Linked DNA regions of Cricetulus griseus. The protein of the gene in region 1 binds, or shares a complex with, the protein of each later gene. Links are inferred from orthologs where the notes say so. Each region holds a gene or a part of one and is shown on either strand. Other genes may lie near its edges.

Region 1 (3,653 bases):
TGCCTATACCTTTCATGTTCATATGAACATATATACACACTTACTACATACAACTATAGAATCCTTGTAGGAGGGTAATAAGCATATGCTATTAGTTAGCAAGGATTAAGGTACCTTACAAAATGCCTCAATTCCAACACAGTTTTCCCTTGTTATAAACTCAAGAGTCCTATTACAATAGGTTCCTAAGAGCATACAGTTTTTAATTACTGAAAATGATTTAGGTTAATTTGTGCAATTATGAGAACACACATACTTCAGCCTACCAAATCACTGGCTTTAGCATTGCTGAATTAAACTGCCTTTATAAGAAGATAGCTCACGACAATTGTGAAAGCTGCTAGGAGGCCCGTTCAATAAATCAGGTAACACATATTGATTCAAACTTAGTTCCAAAAGTCTAGATACAGAGAACTGTGTGGATAAAAACTTCATCATACATAATCTCAAAGCTTTGTATCCTTGCTTCTCCATCCAAGTCAAATTTTGTACTTGATGCTCATGAGTCCTACATTATCTTGCCATAAAACGTTTACTTCAGTTCACACCATCTCTCATTTTAAAGTACTTATCCATAATGACTTTGACAATTATTGTAAAACATACCACCTCCTTCAAAGAAAATAAAGACATCCCAGAACATGTTAGCCATTCCTCATCACAGAGACACACTGCCCATCCGTCTGTCCCTTAATATTTTGTTTTCATTAAAGAAAAGACAACTTGAATATCTGAAAAGTGTGATTGGGATTGTTTCCCCTTCTGATTTCCCAGAGACAACAGATAGTATTCCAGAATCCACCCAAAAAAGCTGATTTTTCTTTAAAAGGATGGTGTTTTTCTAGACAAAATGTTATATGTTTCATTAAGAATCTGGGTATGTGGACATTCTACCTGTGAATGCTCTGGGTCTGGAGCCAAAGAATGGGTAGCTGCTTTGGCTTTTTCTACTGAACAAAGTCATACAACACCATACATTATAAATGATATTACAATAATTTATGAATGTACTTTGTCAATGGAATCAGAAGGACAGAACATCTAATTCTTAAGAAACCCAAGCAAATTAAAAAATATGTAATACAATAAAGGAAAAATATTTAAAGAAAAAATTTAGAAGGGACATAGGCAGAATTAACTAAGATTTAAAATGTACTAATTTCTTCATTTAAAGATTCTTCTCATTCAATATTATAGTTTCAGGTCTCTTAAAACAAGGGCTGAATTAAAATACAGTAATTGTTAAACTATCTTCTAGAAAGTCAAGTGTTCCGGAACCTTAAGTTTTCTGTACAGTCCACGTGCAGCTTTTGTGCAGGAGTTAGCAGTGCATGGCACAAGGGTCACTTTTTGCTTTCCCTGCAGAGTTGATGACGCTCATCAGACACCGTCCAAACTCCTCAAGTATCATCCGCTCTGCCGCAGCCTTTGACTTCCCCTTCTTGTCTGCCTGCTCTGCCTGGGCAAGGAGGCAGTTACACGTGGCTTCAGCTACTTCCTTAGTTACAAATGTAAATGGCAATCTGAAATGATGTTTGAGAGAGAAACACAGGTGATCATGAAGTTGACCTGGGATTCTACTGGTACCTTCGTGCTGCACCAGCAAAAGGGACATCAGTTTGAGTCAAACACAGCCTCAAGAGCTCTAAGACACAAGTTTGGTCTCAGTAAGCACATCTAAAAATATTTATCAGGAAACACATTTAACATAAAACACATGACTTACTTCCCAGACAATGCTATCTGGCTCAATAAAATCTGTACCTCTCCACCTATACTGTGCATTCTTTCACACAGATCTTCCCAGTGTGTGAATGCTCTTTGAGTGCTGCCCTGGCTTGAGGGCCTCTTTCCTGACACACAGAGGAATTCCATGAACACTACTGGGAACCAAAAGAACTACTGAAAACAAAGTTCTACCACACTCCCTCATATTAATTGTTAAAAAGAACAAAAGCCTGATGGATGTGTGGCACACACCTTAAACCCCAGCACTCGAGAGGCAGAGGCAGACAGATTTCTTCAAGTTTGAGGCCAGCCTGGTATACATAGTAAGTTTCAGGACAGCTGTGACTACATAGAGACCCTGTCTCAAACAAACAAAACAACAACAAAAACCCCACTAAATCCCCACCTTATTCCATCACAATAAATAACAAAGGAGTAAACAGACATGTTCTACAAAGGTCCTACAGTGTAGCCAAGTAGTTTCAAAGCCTGAGAGAGATTAATTAATTCAGGCAACTAACAACTTGAAGGACTAAGAACACCCTGTAAGCCAGTTGTTCTCAGCTTTCCTAATGCTGTGACACTTTAACATAGTTCCTCATGCTGTGGTCACCCTGGAACATAACATTATTTTTGTTGCTACATCGTTAACTGTAACTTGCTACTGTTATGAATTATAATTTAAATATCTGATATGCAGAATGGTATAACTTGACCCCTGTGAAAAGGTCATTTGACCCTCAAAGGGGTCACAACCTTCTTGTTGAGAACCTCTGTAATAGATCATTTACAAGGTTCAGTCTCTTAATTTCTCAAATTAATCTATAATACACTAATATAAATAAATCCAAGTCCAATTTACTGTGTTAACAGCAGACCTTGAAAAATACTGGCAACAGAAATGCTTCATGCAGTTCCCAGAAAGCTGAGACGGGAGACGGAGTGTGTTTTTTCCAGACTAGGAATTAACTCAGACAGAAAACACAGGCTACCTACTTTTGTAGGCATATATTCTTTTCAGGTAATTAAGTTATGTATTTATATATAATTCCTTTATATATTTTATATATAATTCTTAAGATATAATACCCTTGCTTATTTTTATTAATTTGTTTTTACTTACTGATTTCTTTTTTCAAGACAGGGTTTCTCTGTGTAGCCCTTGCTGTCTAGGAACTTGCTCTGTAGACCAGGCTGGTCTCGAACTCAACCTTGAATCCACCTGTCTCTGCCTCCTGAGTGCTGAGATTAAAGGAGTGCACCAACATACTCAGTTGTTTATTTTTTATTTTGTTTTGAGATGGGGTAGTGCTTTATTGTGCAGGCTGGCCTGGAATTCCAAATGATTCCTGCCTCAGCTCCTGAGCAGCTAACAGCAGCCACCACTGTACCAATGCATGACTTAAGTCAAACTTCTGCACTCCAGAGCTCTGCAGTCTAGTGAGGCAGGAAATAGGAGACTACACTACCACAGTGCAATGTGGAGGCCACGAACAGGACTAGTCACAGTCAAAAGTGCTAAAGAAATGAGGAGCACCACTGAAAGCACAATAAACCCAGGCTTTCTTAAAAGTTTCTCACAGTACATCTACCCAAGTTAGCAGACAGAAATCCTGTTAATATACATAGCAAACTAAAGGACTTCTGTGCATTGTAGGATCTGACAGTGTTCTCCCCCCTCCCAACTCACTTAAAAGGTAAGTAAGGTAGAAGGAAAATGGAAAATTCAGGTTGGCAACAGTGGAGAGTCTGGAGTTAGCATTGTCTCCCTAAAAAGAAGCCTTACTAAAAGTGAACGTCTGAGGCACAGATAAAAAGGCTTTGAGAAGAACTGACTCACTTTCCTCCTCCACTGTTCAGGGCTGGGGTTGGCCTCGTCAGCAAGTCTGAGATCTGAGAGGACAGCTTGGTCTTGGCTGCTGTCT
Region 2 (3,298 bases), on another chromosome or scaffold:
GATTGAGTACTGCTACTGCTTTGATTATATTCTGTTAACAGGAGGAGTTCCTCATTCATTCTGGCAAAATGGCAGATTTTCCTCCCTCCCACTTTAAAAGAATCAAGAAAGGGGCTGGAGAGATGGCTCAGCGGATGGGAGCATTGGCTGTTCTTCCAGAGGTCCTGAGTTCGGTTCCTGGCAACCACATGGTGACTCACAGCCACCTTAAGTGAGATCTGGTGCCCTCTGCTGGCATGCAGGCAGAAGACTGTATACATAATAAATAAAGTCTTTAAAAAAAAAAAAAGAATCAAGAAAGATGCAGAGCATGTGGTCATTGGCCTGTTTTCTGGGGACCTTTCAGAGGGAGGAGGATTCTGTTGAGTCCCTTTCTTCCTATGTAAGGCACAATAAATGCAAACACTGAACAGACTTCCAGTGGGGGACAGGCAAAGGGAGCCTGCTAAGCACCGACTGCTGCACAGCTGTGTAGCTGGTGGAACTGTTCCTCACACGGAGAGTGAGAACTGACAATAGTGTTATACACATGAGAAATTGAACCTCAATAGAGAAAAGCCTCTTGACACATTAAGCAGTGTGCCCAGCACCTCTGGGGGAGGGTAACAGCTGTGTGCAAGGAACCTGTGTACCCCACCTACAAAGAAGCCAGATGCTATGACCACAATTTAACTCCTCCCCCTTCCATTCCTGTACTATGATTTGGTGTTTAAGGGCGATAAAGAAGACCAGAGTTTATCCTTTGCAACATCTCAATTTAGGCTTTCCTTTCTTTACTGCATTATGGTCTCATTTTGTAGCTGTGGCTGGTTTCAAACCTCTGATGATTCCTTTGCCTGTCTAGGATCACAAGTAATCCTCTTGGTTCAGTGTTAAGCCAGCAGCACCTGATGACACAGGGGTAACTAGGATGGCCAGGGCGAGGCACACAAAGATTGAGTCTTTGGTTGCCCCACTTCAGACAAGGATTTCACGAAGCCCAGGCTGTCCTTGAACTCAGTATGTAGCCAAGGTTGACTACCTTCCTGCCTCCATTTCCCAAATGCTGGGGTTAGAGGCATACAACATGTCCAGTGTGATTGCCCCTTTCAAGCCCAGCATACAGCAGCAGGGATGAGACAATGGGGGAAAGTTCCTTGAGAACTCTTGCAAGGATTTAGCTGCCTGGCAAAAGAAATGGGTGTAATGTGTGCATTTGCTTTAAGTTCTGAAACATCTTGGGACCAGTAGGCCAGTATTTTGAAAACTAAAAAAGCAACTGTTGCCCTTGATCTCTCCAGGTCTCTGCTAGGCTCCCTTAAGTACAGAGACAGAAATGAGGCACTAACGGGAGGTAGCCCCTGTTGCATATGGACCACTTTGCTCTGACAGCCTAAGATGTGTGTTTTAGAACTCATGCCAACACAACCTGCCAGAACCTTTGTGCCCCTTGCACACTCAGGTTTGCACTACAGCTTCCTTCTGATACAATGAGTCTCCTCTCAAAGGAACCTAAGCTGTATCTGCACACTCGTATTTTCACGCTAACGGCCTCACAACATTTAAGTCAACCAAAGCTTTTGCTTCCAGCTCAAGCTTCCCCCATAGGACTAAAAAGAGCAGCATTTTGGACTGAGCTTGGTACAGGATCCACAGACACCAGATATACAGGATCAGGACAAACACATGCGACTTCAACTGGCTTCAGAATTGATTCCATTCCCTGCCCTCTTTCAAGGCCTTAATGTGTTAGTTAAGTTGGGTTTGGCTTGGCAGTGGATGTCCCGTGCTCCCCTACTGAGAGAAGCAGAAATCACAGACACACTGCAGTAGTTTCATGGCAACAACTTTGGCTTTGTATCCACGAATGACATGCCACGATAGCACAGATGCAGTCAACTGGAGGGTTCAAGATTTTAACAAAAACACTGAATATTGAGTTAGTTTGAAATGCAATTTACCCAGGAATAAATCTGATAAGATCATTTTGATAATTAAAATATGAAAAAGATAACATGTATAAGAGAACAATGATGTTCATATTCTTGAAATAAAGACAAAAGTAATGACATTTGGTTCATTTTCACAAATTGCACACGGGTAAAATCATACAGTACTGCAGACAGCTATGGACAAGCAATTTGGTCAAAGAATTTGCTTCTTTGTTCAACTGTAAATTCAAAAGCTGTATGAAACGCATAGCTTTGATTAAAACTGTAAATACAGTTTCCTTCTCAGTAAAACTCCAAATTTAGAATGCTGGCAAAAGGCAGTGCTGGCGAAGTTTTAATGCACATGGAAATGCTATTCTATTTTGGCTCCCAGAAGTAGCCCTAGAAACTCCTATGCACCAATGCATTGACAAATGGTCACTTCAGTGTTCTGTAAATTATTCTAAATGTCAACTAGGTACTTATAAGGTAGCACTTGCTCCCTTCTAGAAGCTAAGGCAGCAGATGCGCAAAGCACCTCAGCTAGACTTCCGGCTAGCTCAACAGTTCATCTGTGCTCCTCAGGCCACAAGCCTGCAATCTACATCCCTCACTGTACACCCACTGGGACTTTCAAGTTCACTTTTGCCTATAAAAGGCAATCCGACAAGGGAGAAAACCATCATCACTGCATACTCACAGCAATCGCAAGTCTAAATGCTTATACATTGTGGGGTCTTCAAACCCCACCTCCCTGAAAACAAACCTCATTCACTGCCATTCTTCATGGATTATTCCCTCTCTCTCTGCAGAAAGCATGCTTTGTTGACGATGTAACCTACTGCTGTTGCTTAGTTTTCATTCACGCTACATTAACTTTCATTTCAATCATCTCAGCCTTCATGTAATTTGCTTATTGTGTTTCTCTAGTTTTCACTAAACACAAATGCAAACAAAGGCAAAGACTGAAGCAATCATTTCAAAACACAAGAGCTCACACTAAAGACACACATGAGCATCAAAGGTTAAAACATGAGTTTTTTCCTGTCTTTATTCTGGGGAGGAGGAATCTTCCTCCTCATCTTCCTCGTCTTCATCGTTGAATGAACAAGGGGTCTCGCCGCGGGACTCAGAACAGTGAGAGGCCGCACTACTGGACTGGTGACTGTCTGGGGCAGGAAACTGCCCAGTCGCTAAGGCCACTTCAGCATCCAAGCACAACCCTTGGTTTACACTAGCAAGTAAGTTAAAAACATACAGGTTCATTAATGCAGGGCAGACATTTCTTTTTGCAGACAGGAATAAAAACAGGAAGGTACCACACCACTGGGGATATTTGCTACAAACCTGACCCACCTGTTGCAGCAGCAACATAGCCCTGGCTCTCC

What was found. The genes of interacting proteins can lie anywhere in the genome.
Region 2: Lin54 (region 1) and Tfdp2 share a complex: the UniProt entries of both Homo sapiens proteins name them as parts of the DREAM complex. The link is inferred for Cricetulus griseus from reciprocal best matches to the Homo sapiens genes LIN54 and TFDP2.

Annotation. Positions count from the first base shown.
Region 1 is NW_023276807.1:162,482,479-162,486,131, forward strand, and holds part of Lin54 (protein lin-54 homolog), read right to left. Parts: coding exon 3,569-3,653; intron 1,524-3,568; coding exon 1,322-1,523; 3' UTR 1-1,321. UniProt on the Homo sapiens protein: Component of the DREAM complex, a multiprotein complex that can both act as a transcription activator or repressor depending on the context. In G0 phase, the complex binds to more than 800 promoters and is required for repression of E2F target genes.
Region 2 is NC_048597.1:204,909,559-204,912,856, reverse strand, and holds part of Tfdp2 (transcription factor Dp-2), read right to left. Parts: intron 3,145-3,298; coding exon 2,961-3,144; 3' UTR 1-2,960. UniProt on the Homo sapiens protein: Can stimulate E2F-dependent transcription.